Caenorhabditis elegans: one gene and its partners. The protein of the gene in region 3 purifies or fractionates together with the protein of the main gene of each other region. This does not show direct contact. Each region holds a gene or a part of one and is shown on either strand. Other genes may lie near its edges.

Region 1 (5,849 bases), 1.2 Mb from region 3:
CATTTTTCAGATCTCAGACACAATGGTTGCCCAGAATCCAACTTCGATCAGTTCTGGAGGACGCAAGCAACCTCAGAAGCAAGACAAAGTCCAAAAAAAGCAGCTGAAGAAAATTTATGTTGTCAAGATTAAGCGTATTCCGTTTGGATTCTTCGAGAAGGAGTTGCTCGGGTATTTCCGTCAGTTCGGAAATGTGTTGAGAATTCGTGTGGCCAGAAACAGACGCGTAGGTTCAGCAACCTGTTAATATAGTATTAAATCATTATTTTAGACTGGTAATCATAAGGGATGGGCGTACGTTGGATTCGACAACAAGGCTGTTGCTGAAATCGCTGCCGAATCAATGAACGGTTACTTGATGTTCGAGCAACGTCTCGGGTGCACGGTAGGTCAACTTCTACCATTATATCCTTGAAAAACTTATTAAATTTAGGTGATGAAACCAGAACTTATCCCGAAGGCAATGCGCCATGGCCCACTGCTTGTGATGCGTCCATCTTACTTGGGCATCGCTAAAAAAGATACAATTGCCAGAAACAATACCACCGGAAAAAATGACGTCATCAATGCCAAGAAACGCGTGCAAAATCTCAACAAAACTTTGAAGAAGCTGCAGAATATGGGGATCAACTATGATTTCTCTGTGTCTGGAACACCAAGAACGCCACTTAAGAAGGTCATTGACAATGAGGTTCAATTTATCAGTGATGTCACCCCGAAAAGCACGACTCCGAAAATTGTGAAAGCTGCAACTCCAAAAGCAGCTACTCCAAAGGCCGTGACTCCAAAACAAGCAACTCCGAAAGTTTCCACTCCAGTCACCAAAAAGGTTGTCATCAAGACTCCTAAAACTGAAAAGCCGGAACCCAAACAGTTCACTCCAAAAACTCGCGCAGGAAAGAAGGCAGCTGCTGCTGCTACTCCACAGGCTAAATCTACGCTATCCAACGTACGAAAAACTTTAAATAAAATTTGGTTATATTAATTTTCCAGACAATCCTCAAATCCGTCGCTGCAAGTGCCCGTCCAGCTGCTGTCGAAAAGAAAACATTGAGATCTCGTGGAAAGAAGAAGAGCTTGTAAGCGTCCTGATTTCTGTTGTTAATCATTTTATTTTTTTTCCGCAAACTGTTGTTGTTCTTATTTTTATACACATTCATTGTTGATTTTTAATTGAATTGATTTTGTTTTTCATGAATACAAATAATCTATTCAAACTTTTCAAACACTAATTATAAATCGATAGCAACTGGATATTTTCCAGTGAGACATGCGGTGCAATGTCCTGGAGAGAAGTTGGCAGCTCGTTCGATTCCTTTTTGAACAGACTGAAAAAAAATTAAATTGAGGAGAAAGTGAGGTTCAAACTCACCGAAACTAAACCGTCAACCGAAAGATACCGTACTGAATCGGCTCCAACAAATTGGCAGATTTCTGGAATTGTTTTTTCGGCAGCAATCAATTCCTTTGTGGTTGGAATGTTGATTCCCATAAAACATGGGAATTTTACAGGCGGGGAAGCAATTCGTAGATGAACCTTTAAATTTAGAGGTATTATTTGAATAATGCGGTCTTGACACGATCGAAATTTCTAAGATACCGTACTCTACCGTATACTCCAGTTTCTCGTTTTTATGTATTCCGCTATTGTTTTCTTAATATTTGCTGAACATCTAGATGCACAGTTTTACAACAAATATATGTATTGGAAAAATCTGCAAAAACGGAGAATTACTCGCGTTATACGGTAGCTGAAAATTTTTGCTCGTGTCAAGACCTTTTTCACGGTTTATAAGGTGAAAAATCATTATTTTTAACAACAAGGGTAATACCTCTTTTGCTCCAGCATCTCTTAACATTTTTACCAAAGTTCTCATCGTATTTCCACGTACAATTGAATCATCTACTAACACAATCCTTTGTCCATGAATCTTTTTCTTCAATACTCCTGAAATAGAATTCATGAAGTCTTTCTAAATAGTTTTCTTTATTTTACCAAATTTCATTTTAATCGCATTTTGTCTCATCTCATCATTTGGTTCTATAAATGATCTTCCAACATATGAATTTCTGTGTAAAACAGGTTCATATGTGATTCCAGACTGAGAAGCGTATCCAATTGCTGCACTCAGCGAAGAATCTGGAACATTTCCAACAATATCTGCTTCTAGATCATCTTCAAGAGCCATCGTTTTTCCACATTCTTCACGAACAGTTTGTACTTGTTGTCCTTCAATTTCTGAATCATTTCGTGCAAAATAGACATATTCGAATATGCACATAGCCAGAGGAGTATTCGGTTTCATCTGAAATGACTCATATAATTCCAGGTTTCTGATTTTTCAGCATAGCCCATCTGTCTCGATTGTAATTTTGGAAAATACCAAAAATAACCAGAAAGTCTAAAAACTACATGTATTTGCAAAACTTTAAAAACACTTTTTTAAATTTTAATGTCTAACAAAATACATACATGAGAAAATGAGGTCAGAGAAGGCGGTAGGTAGGCGCGTAGGCAGGCCAAGATATATGTAAGTTTACCTGCCACACCGACTTGATTCCTCCTGTCGATAATTCCACAATTTCTCCTGGTCTCACTTCGAAATCTAATTTAGCATTTGCAGGAAATGCACAAGATTCAGAAGATGCAATGAATGCTTCTGGATTTCCATTTTTAGAATATACAGTACCAACACAAAGTGGACGATTTCCAAATGGATCACGAATTGCGTATAGTCTATCAAATGTCATTACTAGTAGAGAATATGACATGTTTAGTGCAGACATTGTTACTGCGAGCTCCTGAAGTTTTTTGGTTTAAGAATTTTCATGTTTTTCAAAAACTCACTCTTGTAATATCACCCATCTCTTGTCCATACTTGCATTTTACATTCAGAGCAATCGCTTTTGCAATCATTTGAGCAATAAGCTCTGAGTCAGTGTCAGTTGATAAACCAACACCTTCATGAAGTACTTCCTTTCTTTTTTGTTTCGCATCAACCAATTCTCCATTATGAGCAATTGCTACAGTACCCATTGCAGTATATACCACAAATGGTTGTACACAATTGATTCCAGACTTCTTCTTTCCTGCAGTTGAATACCTATTATGACCAATTATTATCGATTGCCCATTCATTCTTGAGATATTATCTTCAGTAATCACATCTCGGACAAGTCCATGACCTTTGATAATTTCCACGTGGTCTCGAGTGATTCCATCTGAACCAACGAGTCCTGTTGATTCAGTTCCTCTGCAAAATATACATGATAAGAATTGCAAATTTGCAACTAATTTGTTTTAGTATTTTATTTTTCTATCACGCACGGAAAACAATTTAGAAACTAGACAATATTTGCAAGAAATGCTAGACTTATTCATTTAGCTATTTCGATTTTTTGCAAACTCAAAATCACTGCACAATCTACTTGTTTGCAACAATGTCAACCACTGCAACGCTACAAGCACTTTATTGGTCGTGTGTCCGAGTGGTTAGCGCTGTTTGCTGTGACCCACGAGACGCCAGTTCAATCTCTACATACGCGTCATTTTCATCCAATTGGCAACGTGATTCTAATGTTGGCGATTCAGCGTATTTCTGACGCAAAATTGATAACTTCTCCATTGACGTCTAGTCAGACTAAACTGGCTCGGATACAATTAGGGAGTTTACACTTTTGCCTTCTTGTGGAACGATGGCTTAAGTTAAGCAGAAGCGGAATGAACGGGAAGAGAAAACGAGAGCTTTTTGAAAAATTAGATATTTAGGAATGAGGAGCTGAACAGTTAAAAATTCAAACTGAAACCAATGTAGGAGATGTATGAAATCAAACTTTTTGAGACAGAGCTTATTAAAAATTTAAACTTAAAACCCCACCTGTGTTGAAGAGCAGCCAATCCATTTGCAGCAAGAACATTCAAATGCTCATAATTTCCAGCGGCAACAATCCCAAATATACCACACATTGTTCGGTGTGATCGTCGTCAGAAATCAATTGCCTAATGTGCATGTTATTATCTTTTTCGATGCTCTGAATGTTTGATACGCCAATCATAAAACCTTTACACCCTCCACCTGCTATGTTTTTAAAGTTATTGCCTATTTTTCATGGAAAAGTTCACTTCTGTCGATAGAGCCAGGTTTTTGAACTTTTTCCGCTGATAAGAACAAGTGAATGTCTAATTGAAGTTTGATTTTAAAAGGAGTTTTTAGGTTTAATTGAAAATAAACACGTTGCTCGGGAATACGATAACTATAAGATGTGAATGAAATAAAACTTAACCTGGCGCGAGAGCTAAAATCTTCGGCTTTCAGAATCTGTAATTTACTTTCGCAGCAGATGCATGGAAATCTGGAGAGTTTAATTTTAAAATGTAATACTGAATCTAATGAAATTCCTGTTTGAAAAAGGTTTGTGAGTATGTTATCAAACTTTTGCAACTTTCTGACAACATTTTTCTGTAAAATTTTTTTTTTTCTGCCAACTTCAATTTATTTGAGCAGATTTTTTTAGAGTGTCATGTTGTGTCTAGAAAGTAGATATTGTTGTCACTTGGACTCCGTAGAGCCCGTCCGTCCCAACTTTGCGGATGTATGTGCTTGGTCAGGTTCACCCACGTCAACAGTTATCAACTGTCAATATGGACTTCGAAAATATTCTTTACATACTTTCCTGTTAATATCTGAATTGGTAAAATGGTTTTCGTTCTTTGAAATTCCAACACAATTCAAAAATCAAAATATCCCTCTGTTTGTTATTGAACATTGACCACCCAGTTGTATTTACAAGTTGACATTAGGTTTTTGAATTTCAAAAAATTTCCGAACAACTTCGCTTTTCTCCATTTTACTTGAGCTCCCTGTCAAAAATAGCCTTTCTGTATGTGTGTGCATTGTTTTATATTTGAACAGCGAAATTGCACGTGAGACGAAGAGACGCAGACAGCAAAGATTGTCGCGAAAATGAGCGCCCACTTACTTTTTGGCTAAACTTATCAAAATTGCTCAAAAAATAAGGAGACAGTCAAGGATATATCTTTTGAAAGTTAAGCACACATATCTGAAATTTGTTTTACTGAAAAAAGAAGTTGCTCAAGAAAATGCCAAGTCAATCAGTGGAAGAACAAAATGTAAGTTTAATCCATTTTTATATTCGTTTAGATTTTTGTAAATTAGAAAATATTAAAGGTACATAGGTGAACTTGAAAATTATTTTTGAAGAAAGTTTTGAACGTTTATAAAAGTGACTCACAAAACTATTAAGTAGTTTTGAGTATTTGCTCAATTTTGTGGTGACTTATATGTCACATATTTAATCAAGATTCAACCACTCATATTAATGGGAAAAGTATTCTAGTTTAGAAGTAGTTTTTAAATTTTTTTTTAAATTCTATGCTTCCTTGCCGCAAAAATCTTTGCTATGGGTTTCATCAATAGTGGTTTCTTAAATTTTTCCGACGCTTGATTTCCCATTTGTTAGGTCTATACATTTTTCTTGAATTTTATTATAATTTCTCTAGCTCTGCTTTAAAAAAAAAGTAGTCCAAATCAGGCGGACAAGTTCACCCGACAGCCTTCCTCGCTGTTTTCAACCCGATATCTGCCTACTGGCCTACTGGTGTGCACATAGTTTCAGACTAGATGCGCGTAATAAATTTTTTAAGAACAAGTTCATTGAAATACAAACGTGCCTAACAAAGTCTGGGAGTCGTTCCAAAACTCATAAAAACTCATAGGTCGTATAAAATTCATTCATTTTTTTTTAGAAAATTTCCATTTGCCAAATTAATTTTTAAAAATATTTATGTGATTATATAAGCTCATTTTAAATTAACAAATAACCAAAAA
Region 2 (8,579 bases), on a different chromosome or scaffold from region 3:
TTTTTAAGATATTCTCACAAAAACCGAGGTGTGGCGGTTTTTTAACATTTGTAATCGAACTACATTCACACTTTTTCAAAATAATTTCCAGAAAGCCTCAAACACTCAAAATAGAGGGGGGTGCTATAGAAGTTGGACGCACTGTATGTTGCAGTGTTTCAATACATTTTTATTAGGCGGTTTACAAATTTCCCACCGTTGCGCTTCAGTTTTATGTATTTTTAAATTTTCATTTCTGTCTAATTCACAGACTTTTGCTTGCTTCACTGTTTTGTATACTTTTTTTTGAAACACCGTACTTCACCGTGCCAAAATTTTTGCAAAAAATGTTTTAAAAAATTGTAACCAAATTTGTCTTGATTAGAAATTTTGACTTAGAAATTTTGAAAATTGATTGTTTTTAAAAAATCGGAAAAATTGAAAAAAACCCCAATATTAAATTTTATGTGAAAAAAACATATTAAAAGCGCTCAACTTGCATTTCAAATCGAGACTAACTTGAAATGTGAATAAATTTACCGATTGTAGAAAAACTTCAAAACTGCAAATTTAAGCAAAATTGCACCAGTTAACAGTTAAGCTATTAACGGCTTACGTTTGCTTAAAGTTTGCAAAAAAATGTTTAACTATTTCACTAAAACTTCATTAGGCGTTTCAATAAATTTTATATAATACAATGAGAAGCAATGTGAAAATCCAATAAAATTCAAATGAAAGATTGATAACATGCCTCATTTTACTATTGGTATGAGTTTTCTATTAGTATTGTAACAGTATTAACATGTAGCAATATTAACTGTAATTTCCCCATATATTTGTGGAGATTTTTATGCTTAAGGTGGATTTGAATGACTGTTCTCATGAGGAAATATGAACAACTTAATATTCAAATTTGTTTATATTTCCAATAATAAAAAAAAAATAAAAATAAAAAAAATTTCGCATGCTGAAAGACGCCGAAAGTTTTTTTTTCATCGTCGACCAATTTTTTTTAGCGAGTGACATTTGCCGTTTGCCGTTTGCAGCACCTAAAATAAATAAAAAATAAATAAAATTGTTGTTTAAACCTTTTTATTAGTGGAAAACGTAATAAGAAATTTGCAAATTTAATTAACCCAAGCTGAGTTTTTCTAAAAATTTGCTATATTCGCGATACATTTTTTTACTGTTTCAAGGAATCCTCATGGAGATTTTCAATAATTTACAGTTGATCCCATCTTCATCAATAATTTTGTCCTTCAAATTTTGGAATTTGTCGCGCGCACAACCCTGAATAATTGTTTATTATTTTTCTGTTAAGCCTAGTATCAGAAGATAAATTAAAAACGAAAAAACTCACTATTTTCAATTTCAAATAAATTCACGTTTTGTAGTCAGATCGGTTTTCCAAAATTAAAAAAAAATGTTATCAAAATATCTGTGCACTTTGAATCAGTCACACAATGTTCACAAATTCATCTCTAAATTCAAAAATTAATCTCAACCAGAAACGGTACTTGTAGTTTGTATCAGAATAATTTCCTACGTGTTTCTAGTAGATTTCTAGTTGGTTCATTGAACAATCATCTTGATGACTGCTAGAGATAAGACATAGAACAGCTAGTGATACCTTATCAATGTCATCCCCTTCTGTTGTCGATTGTCTTTTTCATTTTTGATTTTTGTGTTCAGTTCGTTATATAAATAGAGAGTAGTGGAAAACTGACAAAGTTCCTGCAAACTAAACCCGTCTGAGCCAAAATTAATTGTTTTCAAAACAGTTTTGTCACCTTTCCAAATAATCCTTTTCAAAAACAAAATTATTTTCAGTTTCACTGTGTGTTTATAAGTTTCACATTTTTCAGTTTTTTTTGGTTTTGCTACATCCGCGTTAGTTTTTTAACTTACAAATTTTCGCTGTATTTTTTTTTTAATTTTTACATTCCCCTTTTTAGAGCTGTGACAAAAAAAGTAATTTTTTCTGAAGCTAAAAATGTTTGCCCAAAAGTTTTCGTGCAACTTGTTTTCAAAGCTACAAAAATAGTGTCAAACTTGAAAAAAATTTAATTTTGCTATAGTTTAATTCAGCAAAAAATTGTATGTATGTAACTTTTTAATCCATACTACTGATTTGATTATATTGTTTGATTTTAAAAAAAAGTCAATATTTGCAGATCAAAAATCCCAAAAACCAAAATGTCCCCAAACTGTGGTTTAAAATGTCATGGTGGTCCAGGATATGCATCTCCAGCTGATGCTATAAAAGGACCACGAGAAGAAGTTTTATTTGTGACTGCTCCAAATGCAGCTGATGGTCCTGATGCCATTTTTACAGTTGATGTGAATCCAGAGAGTGACACTTTTTGTCAGGTAAATTTTATTTGTAAAGTTGATTTTTTTTCTTGTTTGGAGGAAAAAAATACTGTTTCAAAAAGACGTATTGAGTTTTAGGAATAACTAATTTTTTGATTGTCTTTTGTAGATCACGTCCATAAAGCTTGAAATAACTGTTTCTATATCAGAAAAATTGTTCAAATTACCGGAATAAAATTGCAATTTTGCAATTTTCATCTCTGTTGCATCAGCCAAAAATAAATCAGGAAACTTTGATTTGATCTCTCTGATTTCAAGGTTATCTCAAGCTTAAGAGTTTTAAATCGATTTGCACGATATATGATTGTATAGTAAAAATTAAAAATTATTATTTAATTGAAAAAATTATCGGTTTCAAAATATTGATATCCACTCGTAGTTTTAGCATTTAGAGATCGATCAATCATAACATTTTCCAGTAAAATTAATATTTTCAGGTGATCAGCCGAGTTGATGTGCCACATATTGGTGATGAAGTCCATCATACTGGATGGAATGCGTGCTCTTCTTGTCATGACAAACCAACTGAGAAGAGGTTAGTTAAAATATTTATTGTTTTAGGATGATACTATTACTCTATTAGTACAGGTGGCAAAATTAAATCAACTGTTCGAAACATCAAGTTTTGTTTAAAAATTTTTTTAATTAAATTTTCATTTTTGAAGTGTGGTTTTCCGACTTTTTTTTTTTAAAAAGTGGTCACAATAACATGTTTTTTTTTATTCTTCAAACAAAATCATCATATATTTGATAAATCTATAGATTCTCCCTTGTTTGTTTTTCTGATTTTTAGATTTTCTCAAGAAAAAACTGATAAACCTAAATTTTTCCACGACCCTTGATACGGATGCAAAAGCTTTGTAATAAAATCAGATCAGAGCGACATTCACGAGAAGATCATTTTTATAAATTTAGTTAGACTTGAACCAATTTCTTGAAACAGTTTTTTAATTCGAATTTACAAACTTCACATTTCAGTCAACTGAAAGATCAATAAATTTTTAGATCGGAGAACTTTCATTAACAAACCAAAACAGTAGAATAATTTCTAAATAATTTCAGATCCCATTTGATCGTTCCTTGCCTGAACTCTGACCGTATCTACATTATCAACGTAGAAAATGAGCGTAAAATCTATCTTGAACATACAATTGAACCATCAAAACTTCATTCTCTAAACCTTTCATTTCCACATACTTCACATTGTCTTGCCGATGGAAATATTATGATTAGTACTTTGGGAGAAGCTAATGGAACTCCATCTGGTAACTTTTTGTTGTTGGATGGAAAGACATTTGAGCCGAAAGGAACATGGCCAGCTGACGAGAAGACTGTTCCGTTTAACTATGATTTCTGGTACCAGCCAAGGAGAAATGTGATGATTTCTACGGAATGGGGATCACCGAATCATATTAAAAAGGGATTTAATCCAGGTGGGAAAACTGAAAATACTTTTAAAAAATCACTGTTTCAACACCTCTTGTTTCATTTTACCAAAAATTAAAATTATTCCTTGCGGCATGAGCCATCAGCATCACTAAAAACCAAAAAGTTACAAATTTTTTTAAAACATGAAATTTTCCAGCTCACGTCGGAGAGGGTCTCTACGGAAACAGTGTTCATATTTTCGAATGGGACTCTAAGAAATATCTTCAAACAATTGATCTACCACAGCCACTTGGAGCACTTCCACTTGAAGTTCGATTCCTCCATGAGCCAACCAGTGAGCACGCTTTTGTGGGATGTGCTCTTGGATCAGGAATTTTTAGAATTCATCCTGTTGAGGAGGTGAGTAATATTCAATAGAATTTTCAGAAAAATTGAAATGTTTCAATAAGTTATTATTTGTTTAGAAACTGAGATTAATATGTTAAAACCGTAGAATAGAATCAAGATTAAAATTATTGTAAAACTAATTTGCCGAGCTCGGAAAATTTTGAGAACTGCCGCACATCCTTGATTGGGAGGTAGCAAAGTTTCCAAAACTGTTGCTTCTTCCAGAGTACTCAAATTTTATTCCATGAAAACTCTTCAGTAGAGTGTTTGATTTTTCAAAAGTTTCAGTCAATTGAAAATGGTTAAACAGTTTTGGAGATCAATGCCGTGATTTTACGAAAACATTGAAACATTCAAAAAACTTTTCAGTTTCAATTTGTCCTCATAACACACTCTGTTGTTTTTAGTTTAGTTCTGTTGGTATTCCTGTCATCTATTGAAATAGATCCGGTTTTTAGAATTCATCCTGTTGAGGAGGTGAGTAATATTGAAAAGAATTTTTAGAAAACTTTTAGAAAACTGTTTCAATAGGTTATCATATTGTATCTTATTGGAAGTTTATTTCATTTGCTAATCCAAAAAAACGTATGAAATCAAATATAAATGATCTTCGTAGGGGGAGTTGACAATTTATCAATAGTACTGATATTTTCGTTGTCAGTAATTGAATAGCAGTGTTGTAAGCTGATGTGTAACTTTCTGGGATCACCGAAACATTGCATTAGAAACTTTCAAGTTTAAAAATAAATAAATTGTTTCAATACGTTGTTATCAAAACTTCCGTTCTATTCAATTGATTTTTTTTCATTCCCGAAGTTTTCTGAGCAAGTTCTTTGGCAAAATGACTAACTTTCGAGAAAAATGTGGACATTTTGAGAAAATCAGAGCGCTTTCGTACATTTCAAATCCTTTAATGCTTTGGCATACATGATTAGGGCATAATTTGAATTTGAAATTCAGAGAAAGTTGTGTAGACCAAACTGCTATTTTTCTTTTTTTTCATTTGGAAGAACCAATATTAATTCAAAATAGTTTCAGTATTTATAGACTACTTGAAACATATAATAATTTTTAAAAAATATCTTTGAGTGTTTTTAATAATTTATTTTTAAATCAGTTTATAGATTCATTAAACGTTTAACAATGATGCAAATACTAAAAACGTATTTTTCCGAGTTTTTTAAAATTAGGTTAGTGAAACAGTAGATTTTTGATGAACCTTTTTTTAAAAAGCAGCATGCATTTAGTTTTGACAAAAAGTTCAAATCGATTTTTTCTGCGTGACTGTGAATCAAGAAAACTCGGTCAATTAAAGAAAGAAAAAATATTTTTTTTTCGACACTAAAAAATAATTTTAAAGCGCGGACATTATAGTCTCAGTGAAACTTTATTCAAACCAAAACGTTTAATCAGCTAATTGAAACATTAAAAATTTTATGATTTTGTTAGTTTTTCTAGCAATGTCAATGCAATCAAATAATTTTCAAGTAAGATGTTTAATGAGTTATAGACTTTTTTATTAAATTTTTGAAAAAAAAACCGATTTCAGATTTAAGTAAAATTATCTCTGCTTCTGCTGCATTGCTGCGAAACAAAAATTCCTTTCTGTGCAAAGTATAGTCTCACTGGAAATCAAGTTCGAGTGACAATTAGAAATCTCACCGGGTTTTCTAGATCATCTGAAACATATAATTTTAAAAAATTGACACCTTGTTCAACTTGAAACATTTAATCAGCCAATCGAAACATTAAATGTCTCATGATTTTTAAAGCTCTTTTAGAACAGTCGATAAGTCACGCCACAGTTCAATTGAAAACAATTTTCTAGCGAGATGTTAAATGAGTTTGTTGAAACAGTAGATTTTCGTGTAAACTTTTGAAAACAAAAATTACGTTTTAAATAAAATTATATCCACTTCAGCAGTGTGCCCTTGAAACAAAAAAGCTCGATCAAAAAATTTATTTTTTGTGAATGGCCACCAACTTTTCAGGCAAAATTACAAAAAAACATAAAATTTACTGTTTCAAAAAGTTAATATAATTTTGGCAGCGCATATACCTACACTTATTTCGACAGTTCGCGATAACCTCTTTTTGAAAATAAAGTTTTTCAGAAAAGTTGCTTCTTTCCTGTTCTCGAGGTGTTCTTTTAACACACTTTGTATTTTTTTTCTTGTAAAATCTCAAAATTCTGATAGTCAGTATGAAAATAGTTGCCAAATGTTTGTTGAATACTACTGAAAACAAATCTTCAGTGATACGTTGAATGAGAAACATTCAATTTTTCAAATAATTCCAGAACTCAACAACCCATGCAGCTACTCTCGTTGCCTTCATTCCTTCTAAAAAAGTAAGTGGATGGGCTCTTCCAGAAATGCCAGCTCTTATAACTGATATCCTTATCTCAATGGATGATCGTTTCCTGTATGTCTCGTGTTGGCTTCATGGAGATATTCGTCAATATGACATTTCTGATCCATTGAAGGTGAAATTGAATTCTCAAGTTTATATTGGAGGAAGTGTACATACGGAATCAAATGTAAAAGTTCTAGAAGGTGAAAAACCAATTGAAGCACTTTATGTGAAGGGACGGAAAATTGAAGGAGGTCCACAGATGTTACAGTTGTCATTGGATGGAAAGAGACTTTATGTTACAACTTCTTTATACAAGAAATGGGATGATCAATTCTATCCAGAACATGTCAAGTGAGTGCTACTTATGAAAAAATTTAGAATTATTTCTGAGAAAAAAGTTACCGTTTCATAAATGTAGTATATTTTGAGCAAACTATTTCCGCTCACTTGTGGGGCTATTCGCGAAATGTAATTCTTTTTTATTCATTTTATTCATTGAACCTTTGTCCTTACGAAACAAATTATCTCGAATTTTGTAGTTTACACTAAAAATACGCTCATGGTGAAATTATTGTTTAGAAAAAAAATCACCGTTTCAAAAATCTTTCATATTTGCAGCGATTCTCTCTCACTTGCTGAGTTGATTTTATCACGAATTCATGTTTTTCTTTGTTTTTCTAGTCTAAATAATTTTTAAAAAAAAGAACAACTATGAGAAATCGATAAAACAGTTCAATAGCTGCAGCACCGAAAGTTTGAAATTACACTACTCTTTAAAGGCGCACACACGTTTTCCGTTGAAAAAATAGTCACGTCGAGACTTGGTAATGTTTCTTTTCGTCCGCTTAATAATTCATGATAATTTCAAAAAAAAAACACCAAATTCGTCCTACTTTCTCAATGGAGCGCGTTTGCAACCCTGTCATTTTTCAGATCTGGCGCCACAATGGTTCAAGTCAACATTGATCCAGAATCTGGAAAAATGGAAATAAATCGAGACTTTTTGATCGATTTTGGAAAAATTGAAGGAGGTCCCTATTTGGCTCACGAGATGCGTTATCCCGGTGGAGATTGTACATCGGATATTTGGATTTAATTTGGTTTTTTTTAAAATGTTTTGCATAAAAAATTAGCTTGTACATATTCATCACAATTCATTCAGATTTTCAAAAAAAAATTGAAAGGATTTTTCAACTCATGATGCAACTAGAAAAACGGGGGAAACCAGGCGAATAAATATTGAAAAAAGGGGATTTTTGTAATGTGAACGAAGCAATCATCATATATGGTACAAAGAATGTGGCGAGTTGAAATCACGGGAATTTAGTAGAATTGCACAAAAAAATTATGGATTAGAAAGTAGGAAGAAAATATATGAACATCCGGAATTCTCCTCAATAAAAACTGGCTCCTTTTATCGATTGTCTTTTTCATTTTTGATTTTTTGTTCAGTTCATTATATGAATAGACAGTAGTGGAAAACTAACAAAGTTCCTGCAAACTAAACCCGTCTGAGCCAAAATTAATTGTTTTCAAAACAGTTTTGTCACCTTTCCAAATAATCCTTTTCAAAAACAAAATTATTTTCAGTTTCACTGTGTGTTTATAAGTTTTAAAAATGAAAGACATTTGATTCAAATGACCTACAACTTTTCTGAATATCTCAAAAATGAAAACTCAAAAAAGATGATCACTCGAACTAAATGCCCAGAAATTTTATTTTTGTTTTTAAATGAATTTTTAAAATGAAAGACAATAAATTCAAATGACCTACAACTTTTCTGAATATCTCAAAAATGAAAACTCAAAAAAGATGATCACTCGAACTAAATGCCCAGAAATTTTATTTTTGTTTTTAAATGAATTTTTAAAATGAAAGACAATAAATTCAAATGACCTACAACTTTTCTGAATATCTCAAAAATGAAAACTCAAAAAAGATGATCACTCGAACTAAATGCCCAGAAATTTTATTTTTGTTTTTAAATGAATTTTTAAAATGAAAGACAATAAATTCAAATGACCTACAACTTTTCTGAATATCTCAAAAATGAAAACTCAAAAAAGATGATCACTCGAACTAAATGCCCAGAAAT
Region 3 (4,136 bases):
GCTTCCAGTGATAGACGATCGATTAATCTGAAAAAATGTTCAGTTTTTGAGCCGAAAATTGCTGAAAATTGCTTTTTTCTTACGTTGCACAAAGAGCAACAGCGTCAGATTCGGGCAAGTATTTGCATTCGCTCGCCCACGTAATCCATTGCTCCGGCTCTATTTTTCGAGATCTGGAAATGAAAAAAATTAAGTTTTGTATAATTTTGGAGCTGAAATTTAAGTTTTTTTTTAGAAATTTGCAAAAAAATTCGAAATTTTTCGCAGAATTTTTCAATTTTGAGTAAAAAAAATCAATTTCCAAGCTCAAATCGCCTAATGTAGATTTACGCAGCTCGTGTACTCCCCGAGGAGAAAAATACTAGTTTTCGACTAAAATGCTAGATTTTACATTTTCGCTGTTTTTTAAAAGTTTAACGTTCAAATCGCCGATTTTTCGCTTTTTTGGTAATTTTTATGCTGAAATTCAGCATTTTTAATATGGAAAACTGCTGGAAACGATGATTTGTAGTCGATTTTCATTTAAAATAATTAAAATGACAATTTTAATGTTAAATTGGTCAAAAATTGAGCATTTTCTCCAAAAACTATAAAAATCTTCTCCTCGAGGAGTACACGAGCTGCGTAAATCGACACAAAGCGATTTGTGCTTGGAAAATCGCATTTTTCGCTTGAAATATCCAAAATTTGGTACCCAATAAAATGCGTTGTGCTCTTTTCGAGCTCTCCTTCATCGCACACTGTCACCCGAAGAAGGTTTGTGTCGATCATTCTGAAAATTTTACGGTTTTAAATGAAAAAGAAGCTTTTTTCCTGTTTAAAATTAAAAAATATATGAAAAATGGCTGAAAACCTATCGAAAAAGTGGAAAAAAGGGAATTGAAACTCAAAAATTGTTCATTCGAATCCTATAAAACGGCGGGAAAAAGTGATTGGAGTGTGATGAAATAACGGAAAAAACAGAAAAACAATAAAAATTACTAGCTATTCAAAAAAAAACTACAAAAAACCGGAAAAACATTAAAAAACCAGAGGAAAATTAAAAGAAAATTATTTAGAGACGACTCCAACTTGAGCAGGCCGAATTGGACGTTCTTTCAGGCTGTAGCCGATCTTTGTACACACTTCGATATGTCCGACAGGTTGTTTGGCCTGAAAATGGAGGAAATTAAGCATTTTGTGGCATTTAAAAAGGATTAAATAAGCCCAAATTGTTCAAAAAATACAAGATTTGGCTCTTTTATTTCGGAAAATTCGGGCGGTTAGCACTAACATTAGCAGATGGAATCTGGAAAACGGCTTCGTGGAGATTGGGGTCGAACTTTTCATTGGTTGGATCCACGGTCACAAGGCCATGCTTTGCGAATGTCTTTGCCATGACAGTACGGGTCATTGAAACTCCTTCGAAAAGATCTTTCAGAGCTTTTCCTCCCGATTCCAGATCTTCTGGCTTCACAGACTTGACGGCAATGTCGAGAATATCGGAGACCTGCAAATTTGGAATTATTTTAATTGTTTTTCGGTTGATTTTGATTTTAAAAATCGAACCTCAAGTAAATCTTTGCAGAATGATTGGATTGCAAAAACCTTAGCATCGTCGGTTTGCTTGATACCTCGCCGACGAACATTTTCAGTTTCAGCAAGCGATCTTTGATATTTATCCTTAAAATCCAAGCTTTCGGCCTGCAAATCGTCGTATTCCTTGAGAAGAACATCAAAAGCACCCTTTGGAATCTGTGTCTTGTCCTCGCCGGCAATCGAAGTAAGAACAATTTCTTCATAGTCGGCTCCTGGTTTTTTTTTAAATATTATATCAGTTTTTAGAATTTAGAATTTGTTTTAGAGTAAAAATCGCTACCTCTGAGTCTCTTTCCGTCTTTTCTAATCTCATAATTGACTTCTTCCGATGATTGTGATGCCGTGGCGCTGAATCTTTGAATGCGCAAGTTTTTCTGAGTTTTCCTGCAATGAAAAAATTTGATTTTCACCGTTATTCAAAATTCAAGGAACTTACAGCGTTTGTTGAACAGCCTGGCCGACGAAAGACACTCCTTTGCGCAGCATATTGTCTGAAATTGCCAAAATTTGAAGAAATTAGGAATAAAAAACGAAAAATCGGCGGAAATTGGTAAAAAACGAAGAAAAAATTAATAAATTTCATCATGACAAGAAATGCGCCAGCACATGACTCAAGTGCGCCAGTAACGTGCTGGCGTGATTTTCGTGCGTGTCTGCGTCTCCATGCTTTGCACACTCTTTTCGAGGAGTTTTTAAGCGGCAATTTAAAGTGGAAAAGGGCAAACTGTAGCAGTTTTTTCTTAACTTTTTCTGCAAAAATCTGTGTATTTCCGCAAAAAAACACAGCAAATCCAACAAAAAATTTATTATCAATGCTCTAAAAGCCTTAAACACAAAAAAACCAAGATTTGTCACTTCTTATGTTCGCGTTCTCCATCAAAATCTGGTCGCTTCGGTACAAATCGATATTTGACAATTTTCGAATCATCTTTTCCATCAGTCACAGGTTCCAGGTGAGCTTTCGCGAAATGCGGTGATGTGACTGGAAATCTGGAGCATCCTCTGAACGTGACGCTTTCTCTGGATTTCACGTAACTCGGCGCATGTCGGCGCTGACCTTTCCATTCTGGGGGACGCTGAAAAAAAAGTATGTATTATTGCAAGTGCGCTCCAGTAAACTGAGCGATTCCGGCTGTCACTCACTCTTAAGGCATTCAAAGCACCCGGACTTGGAATTGCATATCGAGCTGGCTGGGCTATTGGTTTTGGCACATATCTCGGAGCACTTGTGCTGGTAGATCCACTGGAAGAGCTGCTGATTGGCTCAACACGAGATCTGTAAAGAGTTGAGGAGATATCCGGCATGTCAAAATGATCTGATTTCTTCGAATTTTCGGGCGGTGCAGAGCTTCCGGTGGTTGAAGAACTACTTTGAACTTCTTTTGAATCAAATATATTGTGAAGTGCTGTGGCAATGTCGGGCATCTGCAATAATTTTCCATTTTTGCCAGTTTCATATTCAAATTACCGCCAAGAGACTTTGTTCAATAGAGCGCGCTTGCATTATTTTAATTTTTGTTTTTTTTTTCTCATCAATTCTCTGAACTTCTTCATTTTTTGTGAATTTTCACTGAAAATTTGAATGAAAAGTCAAGATAAATGCAAATTGTTCATTAGCTTTTCAAATTTTCAGTAAAAATACACAAAACATGAAGGAATTCAGTGAAATAATTAGGACAAAAAAACAAAAACAAAAAATAATGCAAGCGCGCCCCATCGAACAAATCGTCTTGGCGGATTTTTTCATTTTCAAAAGTTTTTTATTGAAAAAACCTTAAAATTTGACTTTTTTTTCCTGAAAAATTGAAAAAATCGATACTGACAGATTGGCAAAATTTCGCGGAATTTTAAGTAAATTTTTTAGCAATTTTTTTCGTTATAACTAACAGGAGATTTCTGGCTTCCGAGAGCTCCATTATCTTTCTTTTCTGACTCAAATCCTCCAATTGTACTCGAAGAACTATTCATTTCGTCCGATTCCACCACCACGTGAGATTTGTAAGGCGTTGAGGAAATATCCGGCATGTCAAAATGGGCTGATTTCTTCGAATTTTCAGGAGTTGCAGAGCTTCCAGTCTTCAAAAACGAGCTCATTCCTTCTGACTGAGCTTTGTAAGAGGCTGAGGTGAAGCCTTCTGGCTTGATATAGCGAAATTCTGGTCTCTTAATATATCCTGGAATAAGCTTCAAGTTCCTGGAGTTACTTTCCGAGCTAAAATTGAATGGTTTTCCTGAATTCACCACATATCTAACTTCTCCAGTGTTCAGCTGATCCGAAATTTGTGTTCGGCCTGGAGGGCCTGGAGATGCTGTGATGGGCTTTCTGGAGCTGCTGCTGGTGCTTTCAAAATAGAACGGCTTCCCATAGCACGCAGAACTTGTGCTGGGCTGATCAGGCTTCAGATATTTCGCTAGAGGACTTCCGAAGTCACTTGAATCTTCCCCATCCTGGGTTCTGTCAGACATCAATGAAATATCCTCTGGATTTATCAGCTTTACATCAGGCTTCTTCCTTGGTGTAGGCTTTTTGATGCCGACTTTTTTTTCGATTTTATCAA
Region 4 (3,846 bases), on a different chromosome or scaffold from region 3:
CAGAAGCTGGTGCAGGAGCTGTCTGAGATGCTCCAAAGAGCCCTGATGACATGGCAGCAGCAGGCGCACCGAAGAGGCCTCCAGGCTTTGGAGCAGCAGCAGCCGTTGAGCCAAAAAGAGGTGTTGTTGAAGCAGCTGGAGCCGTGGTACTTGTACCGAAAAGCGACATTTCTGGAAAATTAAATTTTTATGGAGAAGAAAGAAAAGAAATTGGGAAATTATTGATTTTTAGACATTTTCTATTCAAAAACAGAGGTTTTTGATGGTTTTTCCTTCGGGAATTCGAATTTTCGAAGCGAAAATCACTTTTTTTTTTTGACAATTTCGCTCAGAAATCACAGAAAACACTTTTTAACAGAAAAAGTGATTTTTCATGAATTTTGAGATGCTTATCCAGATTTTAATGGAGAAAAAACGGTGGGGATTCGAAAATTGCCAAAGAAACGTTTTTAGCATCCAACATTCGATTTCCGATGAAAAATTATCAAAAATCACGAATTATTCAGGCTAAAATTGAGTTTTAGGGCATTTATCCCACGTGTCTATGAGAAAATTTTGAAAAGTCAATTTTAGCACAGAAAAATTCATCAAAATCGACATTTCTTAGAGAAAAATATCTGAAAATCAATTTTTGGAAAAAAAATAAACAAAAATATAAGTAAAAAGAGCTGGAAAACTCGAGAAATTGGAAATAAATCATTTTTAAAAACGAAGAAATCGGTTTATATGCAAACTACAAGACAAACGACAGGGTGGAAAACGAGAAAACGGGGAAAAATCAACAAAAATTCAAAAAAAAAAACGAGAGAAATTATTACAAGGAGGCGAGCGAATTGCGGTGAGCCGTGTATGCCTCCTTATTCTTCTCGTTGACACCCTCCACGTTGCGTGCCATCTCGATTGCCAGGTAGATGATCTGTAATTAATTATCGATCGATTTTGTATGGGAAAATGAGGGATGAGGGGTTTTTGGCTGGAAATTGAAGTTTTCCCAAAAATTTAAGCTAAAAACTGCAATTTCCAGCAACAAATCATGCCGAAAATCACAAAATCTGAGTTTTCTAGCTAAAAACTGGGCTAAAAACGCAAAAACTGCAATTTCTAGCTACAAATCATGCTGAAAATCACAAAAATTTCCAATTTGGGTCCCACTAACTCTTGGAACAACCACAGTATTTTCCGGACTGTAAGCCTTCGAAGCATGAATTCTCATCAGTGTTCCCATTGAATAATCGTCGACGATATCCTTGAATTGCTCACAAAACTCGCGCCATGTCTCCTTGGCTCCGCCGTCTTTCAGCAAACTCGTCGTCACCTCCTCCACATTCAAATCGGGGAATGAGCTTCGAAATGCGGCGAGAATCGCATCCTGATGCTTGTTGAGCCGAAGAACCCGAGTGTCACACCGCATTATCAGATTCATGTGAACTTCGGACCGTTCGCCGGCTTTGATCGCCCAAGCCATCTCGATCGATTCGTCGTTGACGTATTTATCAGCATCTCCGTAGTCAGTCATTTTGTTACCTGAAAATTTGGAAAATTAGAGAGAAAATTGACTTGAAACAGGAGAATTAGAAGAAAATCATGTAAAAATCTGCAAAAATTGCAAAAATCCAAGTTTTTCAACAAAATTTGCGGAATTAAATTACATTTCTATAATCCTACACACTTAAATAACATTTTAAAGTGAAAATTACGCATGAAAACTCTGAAAAAAGCCTGAAAATCTCTAAAAATTGCGAAATAAATTCGAATATTTTTTAAATTCTCCAAACTCCGCCCATTTGCAACTGCCGCACGGCGTTTTGCCATCCCCGCGCGCGCAGTGGGGATTCGATAATTAATGGAATAAAACCGATTTTAAATGCAAATTATAGCAAAAACAAACAATTTTTCAATATAATTTAACAAAAAAATAGCAAAAAACAAATTTAACATCATTCTTCTTCCCAATTTCCAACCAAAAGATTCCGAATATTCATTCCATGTAAGGCTGCGAGCGCGGCGACCTGCTCAGCCATTCTTAAATTCGGTTGTCCAATTCCTGATCGATATTTCTTGTCACCAATACACGCCGTCGCCACGAATCGCTTATCATCTCGTTTTACGACCTCATACGTGGCTTTTGGGATCTTCGTCTCCACACAATAGTCGTGAAGCACCATTTTGGGCGTTGGCGAGAAGCCGACCGAGTTTTTCAGGCGTTTTCTGCAGAAAATTAATGGTTTTTTGTTTAGGAGGAATTCTTACAATGGAAATGAGACTTCAATATTATAAACACCGTCATCGTCAACACGAGCTCGCTTCTTACTCTGTTTCTTCTTTCGTTCATCTCGCCATTTCTGAAAATTTCCAATTTTTCCGTAATTTTTTGTGTAATTTTCGAGCAAAAAGTTGCAGAACAGTGGGAAAAATCCAATTTTCGACGCTAAAATTGCTGTTTTACGTTTTTTTTTCAACTGAAAAGCTGAATAATTCTTTGAAAATCAATTTTTGTTCGATTTCCGGCATATTTTCTGGGTGAAAATTGAATTTTAGGGCAAAAAATGACTGGAAAAGTCAATTTAAGCCACGAAAATTGGATTTTGGATTTTCCATTGAAAATACATGAAAATATTGTTTTTCTTTTAACTTTTTGTGATTTTCATCAAATTTTTCAAATAAAATTGGATTTTCAAGTGAATTTTTGTGATTTTCAATGTGTTTTCCACACATTTTCAGTGCGAAAATTGCCGGATTTTCAGATATAATCCCGTACATCATATACATCCTCCATTCCAAACGCTTTACAAATCTGCAGTACACTTCCGGCGGCAACCGTCGCCTTTCCACGTGGATCATATTCCTGATCGGCGCCCAGAATCCGTTGAACAACGTATTTTGTCATAGTGTAAGACTCGTCGTATTGGCACGCGAGTTCCAGAAAATTTCGAATATCTTCGTATTTATCTAAACATCCTTCCCGACGGAAAATTGACGGAGTTGAGAGGGCTTTTCTGGCAATCATTGTACTACTTGTCTCGGTTAACAGCTGATATTTCTCAAAATCTGAATATTGCTCGATTTCGTCGGAGAGACCGCTGAAAAATGTATATATTAATTGTTTAATTGATTTTTGCGATGTTTTCTATTACGGGCAAGGGTGTCGGTTTTTCGATTTTCCTATTTTTCGCAAAAAATTTAGATTTTTCAAATATTAGCTTAATATTTTGCCATTATTCTTCTTTTTAGAAGAAATTTGTATGTTTTTTTCTTACAAATATAAGCAAAATTATATAAAAAAGTCATATTTTATGGTTAATTTTTTGAAATTATTTTTCGATTTTACAGAGTATCGAAAAATCGAAAAAATTTCGATTTTCGATTTTTCAATTTTCACTGAAAAAATTACGGGAGCACAAAAACTCTGAGAATGCGTAATGCGCAACATATCTGACGCGCAAAATATCTTCTACAGTAATCCTTTGGATGACTACTGCAGTTTTCGCTATGAGATACTTTGCGCGTCAAATATGTTGCTTGATACGCATTTTTGTGTTCCAATAATATTTATAAAACTCTTCAATTTTAAAGAGATACGGTAGTTTTAAAAATACGCAATGCACAAAGCTCTCGTGTACTCCGCGTGGATAATTTTTTTCAACTTTAAAAAATCTTTTCTCCTCGTGGAGTACACAATTTCTGCGTAAATCGACAAACTGCTATTTTAGAACTGGAAAATCTATTTTTTTTAAATATTTTTTAATGATTTTATTTGATTAAAAATCAAAAATCTTCTAAAAAAAATTTTCAAACTGAAATCCGGATTTTTTTCGAATTTTCCGGTTAAAACCCCGAATAATTACT

Evidence for each region.
Region 1: the proteins of C34C12.8 (region 3) and ppat-1 fractionate together in Caenorhabditis elegans (co-fractionation; one large-scale study listed by BioGRID). This does not show direct contact.
Region 2: the proteins of C34C12.8 (region 3) and semo-1 fractionate together in Caenorhabditis elegans (co-fractionation; one large-scale study listed by BioGRID). This does not show direct contact.
Region 4: the proteins of C34C12.8 (region 3) and Y54E5A.5 fractionate together in Caenorhabditis elegans (co-fractionation; one large-scale study listed by BioGRID). This does not show direct contact.

What each region holds. Positions count from the first base shown.
Region 1 is NC_003281.10:4,687,463-4,693,311, reverse strand, and holds ppat-1 (Amidophosphoribosyltransferase), read right to left. Parts: upstream 4,033-5,849; 5' UTR 3,968-4,032; coding exon 3,879-3,967; intron 3,679-3,878; exon of another isoform or gene 3,541-3,678; intron 3,255-3,540; coding exon 2,849-3,254; intron 2,803-2,848; coding exon 2,542-2,802; intron 2,307-2,541; coding exon 1,997-2,306; intron 1,949-1,996; coding exon 1,833-1,948; intron 1,538-1,832; coding exon 1,373-1,537; intron 1,329-1,372; coding exon 1,233-1,328; 3' UTR 1,141-1,232; downstream 1-1,140. Other genes in the region: nifk-1 (RRM domain-containing protein), read left to right, coding at 23-226, 272-385, 434-949, 994-1,083; tag-243 (Costars domain-containing protein), read left to right, coding at 5,102-5,131.
Region 2 is NC_003282.8:14,049,047-14,057,625, forward strand, and holds semo-1 (Methanethiol oxidase), read left to right. Parts: upstream 1-2,153; 5' UTR 2,154-2,175; coding exon 2,176-2,349; intron 2,350-2,448; exon of another isoform or gene 2,449-2,469; intron 2,470-2,747; exon of another isoform or gene 2,748-2,768; intron 2,769-2,789; coding exon 2,790-2,887; intron 2,888-2,902; exon of another isoform or gene 2,903-2,923; intron 2,924-2,949; exon of another isoform or gene 2,950-2,971; intron 2,972-3,228; exon of another isoform or gene 3,229-3,249; intron 3,250-3,321; exon of another isoform or gene 3,322-3,346; intron 3,347-3,414; coding exon 3,415-3,785; intron 3,786-3,862; exon of another isoform or gene 3,863-3,883; intron 3,884-3,937; coding exon 3,938-4,140; exon of another isoform or gene 4,141-4,605; intron 4,606-4,690; exon of another isoform or gene 4,691-4,715; intron 4,716-4,778; exon of another isoform or gene 4,779-4,799; intron 4,800-4,925; exon of another isoform or gene 4,926-4,946; intron 4,947-5,122; exon of another isoform or gene 5,123-5,144; intron 5,145-5,262; exon of another isoform or gene 5,263-5,283; intron 5,284-5,448; exon of another isoform or gene 5,449-5,469; intron 5,470-5,486; exon of another isoform or gene 5,487-5,507; intron 5,508-5,749; exon of another isoform or gene 5,750-5,770; and 20 more.
Region 3 is NC_003281.10:3,458,339-3,462,474, reverse strand, and holds C34C12.8 (GrpE protein homolog, mitochondrial), read right to left. Parts: upstream 2,070-4,136; 5' UTR 2,065-2,069; coding exon 2,015-2,064; intron 1,963-2,014; coding exon 1,859-1,962; intron 1,791-1,858; coding exon 1,549-1,790; intron 1,490-1,548; coding exon 1,274-1,489; intron 1,153-1,273; coding exon 1,051-1,152; 3' UTR 885-1,050; downstream 1-884. Other genes in the region: pph-6 (Serine/threonine-protein phosphatase 6 catalytic subunit), read right to left, coding at 1-27, 84-173, 695-771; C34C12.2 (Fibronectin type-III domain-containing protein), read right to left, coding at 2,430-2,654, 2,722-3,003, 3,466-4,136. UniProt on the Caenorhabditis elegans protein: Essential component of the PAM complex, a complex required for the translocation of transit peptide-containing proteins from the inner membrane into the mitochondrial matrix in an ATP-dependent manner.
Region 4 is NC_003279.8:14,706,352-14,710,197, forward strand, and holds Y54E5A.5 (Polysaccharide biosynthesis domain-containing protein), read right to left. Parts: upstream 1,525-3,846; 5' UTR 1,517-1,524; coding exon 1,157-1,516; intron 917-1,156; coding exon 815-916; 3' UTR 708-814; downstream 1-707. Other genes in the region: npp-4 (Nucleoporin p58/p45), read right to left, coding at 1-169; dus-2 (DRBM domain-containing protein), read right to left, coding at 1,938-2,208, 2,251-2,342, 2,759-3,080, 3,846-3,846.